Linked DNA regions of Saccharomyces cerevisiae S288C. The protein of the gene in region 1 interacts with the protein of each later gene in a pairwise test. Each region holds a gene or a part of one and is shown on either strand. Other genes may lie near its edges.

Region 1 (7,632 bases):
CTGCCTGTCTGTACTGCTTAAATAACAAATCACTGATATCATCGCGGGATAAGCTGTCTGAATCACTCCGTATGTCTCTTAAAATCATAGAGGTATTAGCAATGTCAATGAACAAAGAAGATTCAATTAGCTGGTCATTATTGCTAGATTTATCAAGCCGTTGCAATTCTTCAGCTGTGGTTTTATCATTGATTCTACCGATTTTCTTTAATTTTGCAATGTGTTCATCCTTTTTGAACTTTCTCTGATATTCAAATGACTTGTTCAAACGATCGTTGACAATTTTAGATAGTTTGGCGCCCCGCTCTAATGTTATTCCCTCCATAATCTCATCTCCCTCTTGTCTTATTAATTTCACATCGGCAAGATTGTTCAAATGCAGCCACAGCACATCTTCTAACATAAGCCTCAAAGGTACCGACAAAAATACATTTTGCTGTGCTGCAGTAGGCAAAGTTCCAGATAACACACCACAAATACCCCATTTCCTTAGAAGTTTGATGTGATCTATGTCAAATACTAGCGGTGGCATAAAAACCTCCTCGCCTTTTGCCGTTCTTTTTGCATATATGTTAATAGCTATGCGCGTACCACCTTCTTCAGCCATATACGAAAGGATCTATGCTAATTGGGTGGATTTCTTATCGCATCACTTTCTTATTCTCTAACTCTTCTTCGCTGCTCAATAAAATATCTCTGCTTGGAAAAATGTCACGCGTAAAAATTAGACGAGGCGACAAAAGACGCGTGAACTAACATAAAGGTTTACTTGAACAAATGTTATCACTTTAAGTTCTACACGTAAAACAAAAACTATTCACTCTTCTTATTACGGTAAAGGCGAAACCAGCAAGAAGACCAGATTATACTTACAAGAGATGAGCAGTGTTCAACTTTCGAGGGGCGATTTTCATAGCATCTTCACCAATAAGCAAAGGTACGATAATCCCACCGGTGGCGTTTATCAAGTTTATAACACCAGGAAATCTGATGGGGCTAACAGCAACAGAAAGAATTTGATCATGATTTCCGATGGTATTTACCATATGAAGGCTCTGTTGAGAAACCAAGCTGCATCCAAGTTCCAGTCAATGGAACTACAAAGGGGTGATATCATTCGCGTGATAATTGCAGAACCTGCTATTGTCAGGGAAAGAAAGAAATACGTTCTTTTAGTAGATGACTTTGAGTTGGTCCAGTCGCGTGCTGATATGGTCAACCAAACTAGTACTTTTTTGGATAACTATTTCTCAGAGCATCCAAATGAAACCTTAAAAGACGAAGATATAACTGACAGTGGTAATGTTGCCAATCAAACAAACGCCAGCAATGCTGGTGTCCCTGATATGCTGCATTCAAACTCAAACTTGAATGCAAATGAGAGAAAATTCGCCAATGAAAACCCTAATTCGCAAAAAACCAGACCAATTTTTGCCATCGAACAACTGTCTCCATACCAAAACGTTTGGACTATCAAAGCAAGAGTTTCCTACAAGGGAGAAATTAAAACGTGGCACAATCAAAGAGGTGATGGTAAACTATTCAATGTCAACTTCTTGGATACCTCTGGAGAAATCCGAGCCACGGCGTTTAATGATTTTGCTACAAAATTTAACGAAATTTTACAAGAAGGCAAAGTATACTATGTATCAAAGGCAAAACTCCAACCAGCTAAGCCCCAATTTACTAATCTAACACACCCTTATGAACTGAATTTGGATAGAGACACTGTTATAGAAGAATGTTTCGATGAAAGTAATGTTCCGAAAACCCATTTCAATTTCATCAAACTAGATGCTATTCAGAACCAGGAAGTAAATTCCAACGTAGACGTCCTCGGTATTATCCAAACTATAAACCCACATTTTGAGCTAACTTCAAGGGCTGGGAAGAAATTCGATCGTCGTGACATCACAATTGTTGACGACTCTGGGTTTTCTATCTCTGTTGGCCTATGGAATCAGCAAGCCCTTGATTTCAACCTTCCTGAAGGTTCTGTTGCTGCCATTAAAGGTGTTCGTGTGACGGATTTTGGTGGCAAATCTTTGTCTATGGGATTTTCTAGTACCCTGATTCCGAATCCAGAAATTCCTGAGGCATATGCCTTAAAGGGTTGGTATGATTCCAAGGGCCGCAACGCAAACTTCATCACTTTAAAGCAAGAACCCGGTATGGGTGGTCAATCGGCTGCTAGCTTAACAAAATTCATTGCTCAGCGTATTACTATTGCTAGAGCTCAAGCTGAAAATCTAGGAAGAAGCGAGAAAGGTGACTTTTTTAGTGTTAAAGCTGCTATAAGTTTCTTAAAAGTTGATAATTTTGCATATCCTGCCTGTTCTAATGAGAATTGTAATAAGAAAGTTCTGGAACAGCCTGATGGTACTTGGAGATGTGAGAAGTGCGACACCAATAATGCAAGGCCAAATTGGAGATACATCTTGACAATATCAATTATTGACGAAACCAATCAACTATGGCTCACTTTATTTGACGACCAAGCTAAACAATTATTGGGTGTTGATGCTAATACATTAATGTCTTTGAAGGAAGAAGACCCCAACGAATTCACAAAAATTACTCAAAGTATCCAAATGAACGAATATGACTTTAGGATTAGAGCGCGTGAGGATACATACAATGATCAAAGCAGAATTAGATATACCGTTGCTAACCTACACAGCTTGAATTACAGGGCTGAAGCCGACTATCTTGCCGATGAGTTATCCAAGGCTTTGTTAGCTTAATGTATCAAATAATCAAGTACTATTTAATCTATGTAACATATGAGAAATGTAAAAAAAAAACTTCTATTTCGTCAAGTTTTTGAAGGGCGGTTCAGCATCTCTTGATGACTGGATATGAAACTACACGTTCAGTCATATGAATTTGAACCCATAATGCACAAATGAATAAAAATGCTAACAAATTCTAATTAATGGCATGGTACTAACACCCAACAATTTACCGCCCTTTAGGTGTACAGCTTCAAATAACAAAGCTTTACAAATTCACCTTCAACATTTACGTTCAGTAGTATGAAATTACCATCATGACGTGCTCCTATCAAAGTGAGATTATTGCACTTCGTATTATTAGGAAATTACCAAAAAATGCAAAATTTTTCAATTCTGTGTCAAAGAAATCGCGGTAGGCATGACTATACCTCTTCAGTGTCAGTTGCCTATTTAAACTTTCTCCTTTTGAAGAGAAACCTATGATGACTGCATCTTAATTATCCTCGTATAATCTGTAGGGATTGTGAACCGTTCTACAAGCAAGTTATTACCTCTAACATCATATTGCTCTCTCGTCCGAAGATCGATAGCTATTTCTTCCTCTTGTTCTAGTCCTTGCTGCTGTTCTGCCTCATCGACCTCATCAAATTCATCTTCCTTCTCCAAATAGTCGACATTCTCTTCTACTTCTTCAAAATCTGGCGCCAAAGCACTCCACTTTGGCGGAATAACAACAGACCACACATACACGTTCCCAGATTCAAAACCATTACTCACTATACTCATACTATAGAAGTCCCAATTTATATCTATCAACTCCTCTTCAGCCCCTTCCAGGACTCTCACCAACGTTCCACTAGTCGTTTCCCAGATGTATAGTTCATGTGCAGAAGAACCATGTGTAGAAGCGACTAAGTATTCGGCAGTATTATTACTAAAGAGGATACAGTTCCACTGTAATTTATTAATCACATCCTGGTACTTATGCTCTAAGGTCAACTCAACCGCAGAGTTTTCATCATCAATACTTATTTCGTATTGTCTTATTGTTCTATCGGAGCAGTTAATAGCTAATCTTTCACCATTTTGCGAGACAATTAAATGTTTGATATTAGAACTCGTGATTTTAAGGGAATGAATACATTCTGTTTGATATAGAGAATGGAATTTATAGAAGTCTAGCCAACCTTTTGAAGTTCCAACAATAATAATATTTGGATGTTTGGTATGTACTGTACAAACAAGAACATATCCATGATCAGGTGTCGAACTCAATTGTTTTTCGTCTGATTTACTGAGAAGGCTTGCGACCGGATCATTGCTGAAGTCAATAACATATGCGTCACTTTCCTCAAATATCGTAGCTACACAAAGCCGCCTTTTAGCATCCAGCCATTGGCAACCCCAAATTGGAGAATCGAATCGTATTTCTTTCAAAGGCTTACTTGGCTTTGAAAGATCCCACAGTTTTATTGACCAGTCTCTAGAGCTTGTAAGCAACAATCTACCATCTGGAGACCATGCGATAGATGTAATGGGTCGAACATGTGCTCCCAACATATTTCCTGGGACACAAATAGGCCTGAACGTATCCATATCGTAAATAACAAGTGCTCCATTGGCACACCCAAGAGCCAGGTAATCACCGCAAGGACTGAACTGGAGACATTCAGTGCGTAAAGGGTTCTCAATCGTATGTGTGAGCTTCTCAGGATGTTCCTTAAGAACAGCGAATGGATCCTGTAAAAGGATGTTCATAACGAAAAGAACCAGCTGATATACACAAACTAAAAGGACTCGGTCTCGACTCTTGAACCCCAGGGGAAGATCCAATATAATCGTCAACCTATTATTTTATATATTCTCTATTTTTGTACGTGAATTTATTCTGTATTCTGTTACCGTAAAAAAAAAACGAATCGCGTAATAAGTTGAAAAAAAAAAACACATCAGCAGAAATGTGTACATACAAAACTTACTCTATCTTCCCTCTGTAGTTTGGAAAAGTATTTAAAGGTAACCAATCTCTCTACTAATCATGCTTTTAACCTCTCTTTTACAGGTTTTTGCCTGCTGTCTAGTTTTACCAGCTCAAGTTACTGCGTTCTATTATTATACTTCTGGTGCTGAACGTAAGTGCTTCCACAAGGAATTGTCTAAAGGTACTTTGTTCCAAGCAACTTACAAGGCACAAATTTACGATGACCAATTACAAAATTACAGAGACGCTGGTGCGCAAGATTTTGGTGTCTTGATTGATATTGAGGAAACTTTTGATGATAACCACCTGGTTGTTCATCAGAAAGGTTCAGCAAGTGGTGATTTAACTTTCCTTGCGTCTGATTCGGGTGAACATAAAATCTGTATTCAGCCCGAAGCTGGTGGCTGGTTGATTAAGGCTAAAACGAAGATTGACGTTGAATTCCAAGTGGGCTCTGATGAAAAGTTAGATTCTAAGGGTAAAGCCACTATTGACATTCTACATGCCAAGGTTAACGTCCTAAACTCCAAGATCGGCGAAATTAGAAGAGAGCAAAAATTGATGAGAGATCGTGAAGCTACCTTTAGAGACGCCTCTGAAGCTGTTAATTCTCGTGCTATGTGGTGGATTGTCATTCAATTAATTGTTCTCGCTGTTACTTGTGGCTGGCAAATGAAACACCTGGGCAAATTTTTTGTTAAGCAAAAAATTTTATGATCAGACTAAAAACCTTTTATGTATCTTCTAGAAATTTATAGTTTATAAGAGCCGCTAAAGGTATTCCTTCTTTTTGAGAAAGTGGAAAAAAAATGACTAAATAATATCATCTTGGAATGGTATTTTACACAAACTTACGTATTGAGTTGGGCTATACGGTAATTATGTCACGGCTAAAATTTTCATTATCAAAAGGTATATAGGGACTTGAAAGCCTCAACTTTATTTTCATCAACCAAGCCATTTCCTAGCTGCTTAGACACCACGGGAACATTGAAATCAAACTCTTCCGCCTTTTCCTCTGAAAAGTCGTTATCAATTGAGGCGCTGATATGTTTACCTTCATTATCGTTTTCTTGTGAAAGATTGGACCGTGATTTCTTTTGAACACTATTAAAAACAAAGCCTTTCGATGAACTTTTTTGAGGAGTAACCGAAAGATCTGGTTGGACGGGAGTAGAATCGCCCTTTGTAAGTTCGGTTTTTGGCTTTCCAACTAACGGCTTCGCCTGTAGGTTGGTAAAATTGAATTCCTTTGATGATGCAGATGGTGCGTTCTCGCTCTTATAAGCATTCTCAGTAGGTTCAACGTTTCTTGAAGTATTAAACGAGAAGTTAAAAGCAGAGGATGGAGGTTTATCTCCACCATCCTTCTTTTCAGGTGAGGTTTCAGCTACGACGACATTTGAGCGTAAGGATGAGGACCTTGCAGGTTTGTATTTAGTAAAAGAATCTTTGCTTGGCGCAGATGGTGAAATTTTGGTGGCGTTCAGTTGTTTCATTGGTTCTTCGCCTTGTTCAGGAACGTTTTGAAATAATGGCTTAACAGTAGTTTCTTCTTCACTGATCTCTTGCCTTGGTGCAGCATTTGGAGAAACTCTCTTATGTTTGCGTATTTGGCTTACATATGAGGAGTATGGATTAGCAAGTTCTGAAGCTGCATTATTCTTCTTACTGTCATTTTCATCTAATAGTGAGACCAATGCCGCAGCTGTATTACTTATTTTCTTACTAGGAGCTGACTTTGAAACACCACTTCTTACCGATTTAGCAGATGCTATACTTTGAGCAGATGTGTTGGCTGTGTATGTATCGGGGATCTTTTTCGCTGCACTATATCTATAAACGGTTGTTTTGTATGGTGAGGGCAGGCTAGAATAATTGAAACTGTATTTTCTTGAACCAATGCTTCCCAAAGTCGTATTCATTGACGCATTTGAAGTATCATATTTTGGGTTGAAGGTCGGCGCATTAGATATGCTGATTGGTGTACTTCCTGACTCCTTCAAGATAAGCGACTGGTCGATATTATTACCTTCGGCTGATTTTTGTTCTCCTTCCGAAGTTATCATGGATTTGCTTGATTTTTGTAACAATGACATCACACCCTCTATTTCAATTTCTGATAAAGGCTCATTACCTTTTTTACTAAAAAAGTTTGCAAGCTTTGCATTGGAGATGTTAGTTTCATGTGTTTCATCATACTCCTCTTCTTTATTCTCAATGTCGTTTCTGGCTTCACCCACTGCAGAAACAACTACGGAACGGTTTACAGTAGAATCTGGGGATATCTCAGAATGGAAATAACCTCCAGGCATACTTGAGATTCTTCTGTTAAAAGACTCATTGCGTGGTTGTTTATTAGCAACATTATTCCTTGGACTCACTCTGGCTGAATCTTTTTGGGTAAAGAAAGTTTTAATTTTAGAGAAAAGGCTTGGTTTATTGTGTGCATTGCTAATAATCTGCTTTCGATAGGGAGCGGAAGGCACAGTAGCGCTAGCCCTCCTCAATGATTTACGATGCATTGGATGTCGATTTTAGGATATCTTGCGGTGCTTATTTGATGTAAAGGTCTGTTATTTGATGTTTAAAAGTACACATTACAATAAGCTTTCACTTGTAAATATATCTTTTATTTTCCGAGAGGAAAAAGTTTCAAAAAAAAAAAAAAAAAAAGAAGAAAAATAACTTTCTCATGTAATAAAAGGTAACTAATGTAGACAAAAAAGTATACATTTAGCTTTTCTTTTTTTGATGATTTTTGAGTTTCATGTTACTAATCAGAACAATTAACGACACCTTCATTATGAAAAAATTAATTAGCTATAAGTCTTCGAAGTAGAACATGATATTTGGCAATCACTCGAATAACTATCTTAATTTACCTGCTGAAATAATTTGAAAAAACACCCGAGG
Region 2 (7,905 bases), on another chromosome or scaffold:
GAAAGCAGCTTCCAGATAATAGTAAATGGATAACCGTTTCTAAGCGACCTTATTTCAGTCTTGAAAATACTTACCCATTTTGCATCGATTGGGAACTGAGAACCTACAAGCCGTAAGATTGCGTAGCTTTCTCTTGGGGTCCGTGAGATCCGTATTCTGCATTATTACTGCATCTCCAACGAAACTACCTCATTGTGTGAAACTACTATTTCTTGCAAGAAGTTATGACTGCGATGCAAATTACAAAATATACAATTGTAAAACGGCTTAATAGAAAGACATTAGTAGCCCTTGGTCATTACCTTCATATTCAAATAAGCTAATGATCAAATAAAAAAGCCCAACGATATTGCCTGTTGCATCTAAAATTTTCCAAGTCAAACGAGTTCATATTATATACTATGTATGGAATATATATATATAATTTTTCATTTTATTTTCAAAAAATGCCACTGCGCAAATCTCTGTCCATCAGTACTGTTCTTTACAATTTTATCGTGGGAAGTTGCGGAGGGGCGTGTTGGCTAGCAAAAGATAGTCATGTCGAGATGACTCGCGGATGAAGTCTCGCGTCTTCTTCGAAGCCATTTTGCCGGCATTTGGTTATGGAAAAAAGTTGTTGAAAAGTGCAAAGCATTAGAACCGTCCCTGTCACGCTGGTGCCCCCACAGATTTCACGTGAGAGACGATGCCTGAGGAAAATCCGCTACGCTGCTGCCTAATCTGTATTTACAGGCTATGTAGTTCGTTTGCCACTCTGCTAGATTCTCTTGGTATCTTTTATTTCTTCTCTTAGGCAGATCTTATATAAAAGGGCAAAGCTTTTTTTGCTCCCATACTTGCTGAAAATTTTTCAGATCTTACTCTTCTGGTAGTGGTGTCCTCAGAAGAGCTAACTTAGCCGATTATTTTCAATTTAGTGCAGTATGATGTCTACTATCTACCGTCATTTATCTACCGCTAGACCGGCTTTAACTAAATACGCAACCAATGCCGCAGTTAAATCGACAACTGCATCCTCAGAAGCTAGTACTCTGGGTGCTCTACAATATGCATTGTCTTTAGATGAACCAAGTCATTCGTGGACAAAATCGCAATTAAAAGAAATTTATCATACCCCACTGCTCGAACTTACTCATGCAGCACAATTGCAGCACAGAAAGTGGCACGATCCAACCAAAGTGCAATTGTGCACATTGATGAACATCAAATCTGGTGGTTGTTCTGAGGACTGTAAGTATTGTGCGCAGTCTTCGAGAAACGATACCGGTCTAAAGGCTGAGAAAATGGTTAAAGTGGATGAAGTGATTAAAGAGGCAGAAGAGGCCAAAAGAAACGGATCTACTAGATTCTGCCTAGGTGCTGCATGGAGAGACATGAAAGGTCGTAAATCAGCCATGAAAAGAATTCAGGAAATGGTGACCAAAGTGAATGATATGGGGCTAGAAACGTGTGTTACTTTAGGTATGGTTGATCAAGATCAAGCAAAGCAATTGAAAGATGCAGGTTTGACTGCATACAACCATAACATCGACACTTCCAGAGAACACTATAGTAAGGTCATCACCACGAGAACCTACGACGACAGGTTACAGACCATCAAGAATGTCCAAGAATCTGGAATAAAAGCCTGTACCGGTGGTATTTTGGGTCTCGGTGAAAGCGAAGACGACCATATAGGATTCATCTACACATTATCCAATATGTCTCCTCATCCTGAGTCCCTACCAATTAATAGACTAGTTGCTATCAAAGGGACTCCAATGGCTGAGGAACTTGCCGATCCAAAGAGTAAAAAGTTGCAATTCGACGAAATTTTGAGAACCATTGCCACAGCGAGAATAGTTATGCCAAAGGCCATTATAAGACTTGCCGCTGGTCGTTATACAATGAAAGAAACAGAGCAATTTGTCTGTTTCATGGCAGGTTGTAACAGTATCTTCACCGGTAAGAAAATGCTGACGACAATGTGTAACGGTTGGGACGAAGACAAGGCAATGTTGGCTAAATGGGGATTGCAACCTATGGAGGCATTTAAGTACGACAGATCTTGAAGATAGGGATATGTGGATAATTCTACGATTCTAACTGTACATTTCTCCCTTATTTATTAAGAAAACCTATATATATATATATTTACCTATTTATTCTGCCATCGTTAGCTGGCGTTTTATCTTTTATGCATCCAATATCTAATATTACTTCCGATCACGCATTTAGTTCTGATTACAGCAGAAATCGTAGCGCGATGAGACATTTCATCAAATGGCCTTTTTTTTTTGGGCAATTTTTTTATATCTTGAAATGATAGTTGCCTTGTACTTTCAACCGTTCATTTCATTAAGAACTTGACTAAATATGAACATTTCTTAAAAAAAAGGTTGACATATAAAAATAATCGAATATAAACGATGGAATTTTTATAAAATTAAACACATATATATATATATATTAACTATAAATATGTCAAAGAAACCATACAATCATAGATTTATAACTATCTTTTGGATGACATTAATGAACATAACGCTCCTAATACAAATGTCCAAAAAATATTACCCGCAAATACGAATCTTTTTTTTTTCTCGATGAAATTTTGCAAAGAGTTCGAAATTTTTATTTCAAGAGCTGGTAGAGAAAATTTCATAAGGTTTTCCTACCGATGCTTTTATAAAATCTTCGTTTTGTCTCACATATACCAACAAGAGTAACGATGTTTTCTTTACCTACCCTAACCTCAGACATCACTGTTGAAGTCAACAGTTCCGCTACCAAAACCCCATTCGTCCGTCGTCCGGTCGAACCGGTTGGTAAGTTCTTTTTGCAACATGCTCAAAGAACTTTGAGAAACCACACCTGGTCTGAATTTGAAAGAATTGAAGCTGAAAAGAACGTCAAAACCGTTGATGAATCCAATGTCGACCCAGATGAGTTGTTATTCGACACTGAATTGGCCGATGAAGATTTACTGACTCATGATGCTAGAGACTGGAAAACTGCCGATTTGTATGCTGCTATGGGTTTGTCTAAGTTGCGTTTCAGAGCTACTGAAAGTCAAATCATCAAGGCTCACAGAAAACAAGTTGTCAAGTACCATCCAGACAAGCAATCTGCTGCTGGTGGTAGTTTGGACCAAGATGGCTTTTTCAAGATTATTCAAAAGGCCTTTGAAACTTTGACTGATTCCAACAAGAGAGCTCAGTACGACTCATGTGATTTTGTTGCCGATGTTCCTCCTCCAAAGAAGGGTACCGATTATGACTTTTATGAAGCTTGGGGCCCCGTTTTCGAAGCTGAAGCTCGTTTTTCTAAGAAGACTCCTATTCCTTCTCTAGGTAACAAAGATTCTTCCAAGAAGGAAGTTGAACAATTCTATGCTTTCTGGCACAGATTTGACTCCTGGAGAACCTTTGAGTTCTTGGACGAAGATGTCCCAGATGACTCTTCTAACAGAGACCACAAGCGTTACATTGAAAGAAAGAACAAGGCCGCAAGAGACAAGAAGAAGACTGCTGATAACGCTAGATTGGTCAAACTTGTTGAAAGAGCTGTCAGTGAAGATCCCCGTATCAAAATGTTCAAAGAAGAAGAGAAGAAGGAAAAGGAAAGAAGAAAATGGGAAAGAGAAGCCGGTGCCAGAGCTGAAGCTGAAGCTAAGGCCAAGGCCGAAGCTGAAGCGAAGGCTAAAGCTGAATCTGAAGCCAAGGCTAACGCCTCCGCAAAAGCTGACAAAAAGAAGGCTAAGGAAGCTGCTAAGGCCGCCAAGAAAAAGAACAAGAGAGCCATCCGTAACTCTGCTAAGGAAGCTGACTACTTTGGTGATGCTGACAAGGCCACCACGATTGACGAACAAGTTGGTTTGATCGTTGACAGTTTGAATGACGAAGAGTTAGTGTCCACCGCCGATAAGATCAAGGCCAATGCTGCTGGTGCCAAGGAAGTTTTGAAGGAATCTGCAAAGACTATTGTCGATTCTGGCAAACTACCATCCAGCTTGTTGTCCTACTTCGTGTGAATACCGTAAGAAATGGAATAGAATATATACGAATGTATACGAATATTATAGAGAACGTTCTCTTTTATTTCTATAATGAATAGGTTCGGGTAACGGTTCCCTTTTTAGGTATTTCTAGAAGATGAGAGAAGAGGGAATAATGAGAAAGGCGAAAAATAAAGGACACCTTTAACGAAAGATCAAAGGTGTCCTTATTTACTTACAATAGCTGCAATTAGTACGACTCAAAAAAAGTGAAAACAAAACTGAAAGGATAGATCAATGTCTTACAGAGGACCTATTGGAAATTTTGGCGGTATGCCAATGTCATCATCGCAAGGACCATACTCTGGCGGTGCACAATTCAGATCAAACCAGAACCAATCCACTTCTGGCATCTTAAAGCAATGGAAGCATTCTTTTGAAAAGTTTGCCTCCAGAATTGAGGGGCTCACTGACAATGCAGTTGTTTATAAATTGAAGCCTTACATTCCAAGTTTGTCAAGATTTTTCATTGTGGCCACCTTTTATGAAGATTCGTTTAGGATCTTATCACAATGGTCAGATCAAATTTTTTATCTGAATAAGTGGAAGCATTACCCATACTTCTTTGTCGTTGTGTTTCTAGTGGTTGTTACCGTTTCCATGTTGATTGGCGCCAGTTTGTTAGTTTTAAGAAAGCAAACCAATTATGCCACCGGTGTGTTATGTGCTTGCGTTATTTCTCAAGCATTAGTTTATGGGTTGTTTACGGGTTCATCATTTGTCCTAAGAAACTTTAGTGTTATTGGTGGGTTGTTAATTGCATTCAGCGATTCAATTGTTCAAAACAAGACAACATTCGGTATGCTTCCTGAATTAAACAGCAAAAACGACAAAGCGAAGGGTTACCTGTTGTTTGCTGGTAGAATTTTAATTGTTTTAATGTTTATCGCTTTCACTTTCAGTAAATCATGGTTTACTGTTGTTTTGACCATTATCGGCACAATATGTTTCGCCATTGGTTACAAGACAAAATTCGCATCCATTATGTTGGGTTTGATACTAACTTTTTACAATATCACGCTAAACAACTACTGGTTTTATAACAATACTAAGAGAGATTTCTTGAAGTATGAGTTTTACCAGAACTTAAGCATCATTGGTGGGCTTCTATTAGTTACTAATACTGGCGCTGGTGAATTATCCGTTGATGAAAAGAAGAAGATTTACTAGATTGTAAAGGAAATCTTTTCTTTATGTCCCTTCTGTTCACTCATCTTCTAACAATCTATTTCGTTTTGCCTTCTTGTGATCGCTTTCAATACCCTGCTAGCTCACATATATACTTTTCTTACTGTCATATCTACATAAAAGATTTCTTTTTGTATAGGCGCACTTAACGAAATTTGATTGGTCTCACGTTGGCTTGTATATTCTACCTTCAATCAATGTGGTTATATCGCACAGAATTCCCTTGTATTATGATAGAACTTATTTATTGTAATTAGTTTTGATTTGACCATTTTCGTTGGTCCGTAATTGTTTTACACTGTCACTGCTTAAATCATTGAAGAGATGCTCTTGAGATAGCATCCGCTCTCCTATCTTTCCAAAGAAACGCTTTAAAGTCGCTTTAAGCAATCTCTAAAGTTTAAAAATTCCTAATAAATAGCTCTTTAGCAACTATTGTAAACCGCAATAATGGGCACACCCAAACATATTATTTGAAATTTTTTCCACCTCATCGCTTGAAAACACCATGTTGAAATTGGGATATTAAGTAGAGGAGGTAATTGATACCAATGAGGTGAAACACATCTACCAAGGGAAGTGTAGCATAATAGGGGAAGATGGCAGTAAAACATAAATCCGAGAGCCTTAAGCACGAAGAGGGGGCTGCCAAAAAGGCAAAGACAGGCCTATTGAAGCTAAAAAAAATCATGGATATAGAATCTAATGTGGTCAAATATTCCATATGCATACCGACAACTGTTATCGACAATTGTAATAATTTGGAGCAAGTTACATTTACTGCATATCAAATAGCTCGGACAGCTGTATTGTTCAATGTTCAAGAAATCATAGTTCTAGACCAGTCAAAAGATAAAAAGCATGAAAAAAAATCAAGATCAAAGGAGACTATCTCTGATTGTTTATTACTTGCCACACTATTACAATATTTTGTAACGCCTCCAAACTTACTGGATACTACATTCAAAAAAAAAAACAAGTTATATTTAAAGTGTGCATCTACCTTTCCGCCATTGAACCAGCTACCTTTTATGAACGCATCTGCCGAACAACACTACAAGGAAGGCTTATCAATCGCACGAGATAGCTCAAAAGGTAAATCTGATGATGCTCTAACAAATTTGGTGTATATAGGAAAGAATCAAATTATTACGTTATCTAACCAAAATATTCCCAATACTGCGCGTGTAACAGTTGATACAGAGCGCAAAGAAGTAGTGTCACCCATAGATGCTTACAAAGGAAAACCACTCGGCTATCATGTTCGAATGGCAAGCACTTTGAATGAGGTGTCCGAAGGTTACACAAAGATCGTTTGGGTCAACAGTGGTGACTTCCACTACGACGAAGAGTTGTCAAAGTACCACAAGGTAGAAACAAAGCTACCATACATCGCAAAACTGAAAAAAAGTTCAACATCAGAAAAACCCTGTAATATCCTGCTTATCTTCGGGAAATGGGGCCATTTAAAACGTTGTTTCAGGAGATCTGACTTAGAATCCTCTTCTTTGCATCATTACTTTTCTGGTCAACTGCAATTCCCTGCTTCCGTACCCCAGGGAAATATACCCATTCAAGATAGCCTACCCATAGCTCTTACCATGTTTCAGCGTTGGGCAAGTTGAAATAAATAGCAATTAATAACTGATATTACTATTTATGTTATATAATCATCGTTTTCTACGGATATGCAGTTCTATTTTTAGTAAAAGAAACGTTAAAATTTTTCTTTCAGTTTTTCGCCCTGAAAAAGAGAAAAATGTCACGAAGAAAACAAGAGGATATTTGTTTATTTTGATTTTAACTGCCTCCTTATAAAGAAACTTTTCCTCATTCACAATTTGGACTTCTTCTTGTTTTTTTCAATATAAGTTTATTGAGATAGACAACTAACCAAAAAGAAAAACGGTCAAAGATGCGTTTCTCTACTACACTCGCTACTGCAGCTACTGCGCTATTTTTCACAGCCTCCCAAGTTTCAGCTATTGGTGAACTAGCCTTTAACTTGGGTGTCAAGAACAACGATGGTACTTGTAAGTCCACTTCCGACTATGAAACCGAATTACAAGCTTTGAAGAGCTACACTTCCACCGTCAAAGTTTACGCTGCCTCAGATTGTAACACTTTGCAAAACTTAGGTCCTGCTGCTGAAGCTGAGGGATTTACTATCTTTGTCGGTGTTTGGCCAACAGACGACAGTCATTACGCTGCTGAAAAGGCTGCTTTGCAAACCTATTTGCCAAAAATTAAAGAATCCACTGTTGCTGGTTTCTTGGTTGGTTCTGAAGCCTTATACCGTAACGATTTGACTGCCTCTCAATTATCAGACAAAATTAATGACGTCCGTAGTGTCGTTGCTGACATTTCCGATTCTGACGGAAAGTCATACTCTGGTAAGCAAGTCGGTACTGTCGATTCCTGGAATGTTTTGGTTGCTGGTTACAATTCTGCCGTTATCGAAGCTTCCGATTTTGTTATGGCTAACGCGTTCTCCTACTGGCAAGGTCAAACCATGCAAAATGCCTCTTACTCATTCTTTGATGATATTATGCAAGCTCTACAGGTTATCCAATCTACTAAAGGTTCTACCGATATTACCTTCTGGGTTGGTGAGACCGGTTGGCCAACTGATGGTACCAACTTTGAAAGTTCTTACCCATCTGTTGACAACGCCAAAC

What was found.
Region 2: the proteins of ERP1 (region 1) and ERV29 interact in binary tests that used the Saccharomyces cerevisiae proteins (3 or more experiments, as listed by UniProt).

The regions. Positions count from the first base shown.
Region 1 is NC_001133.9:151,866-159,497, reverse strand, and holds ERP1 (Erp1p), read left to right. Parts: upstream 1-4,773; coding exon 4,774-5,433; downstream 5,434-7,632. Other genes in the region: tRNA splicing endonuclease subunit SEN34, read right to left, coding at 1-532; replication factor A subunit protein RFA1, read left to right, coding at 879-2,744; COMPASS subunit protein SWD1, read right to left, coding at 3,213-4,493; FG-nucleoporin NUP60, read right to left, coding at 5,622-7,241. UniProt on the Saccharomyces cerevisiae protein: Involved in vesicular protein trafficking.
Region 2 is NC_001139.9:1,057,962-1,065,866, reverse strand, and holds ERV29 (protein ERV29), read left to right. Parts: upstream 1-4,276; coding exon 4,277-5,209; downstream 5,210-7,905. Other genes in the region: BIO2 (biotin synthase), read left to right, coding at 927-2,054; ZUO1 (zuotin), read left to right, coding at 2,714-4,015; UPA1 (putative methyltransferase), read left to right, coding at 5,827-6,852; BGL2 (glucan 1,3-beta-glucosidase), read left to right, coding at 7,143-7,905. UniProt on the Saccharomyces cerevisiae protein: Constituent of COPII-coated endoplasmic reticulum-derived transport vesicles. Required for efficient transport of a subset of secretory proteins to the Golgi. The C-terminal di-lysine motif is required for exit from the endoplasmic reticulum.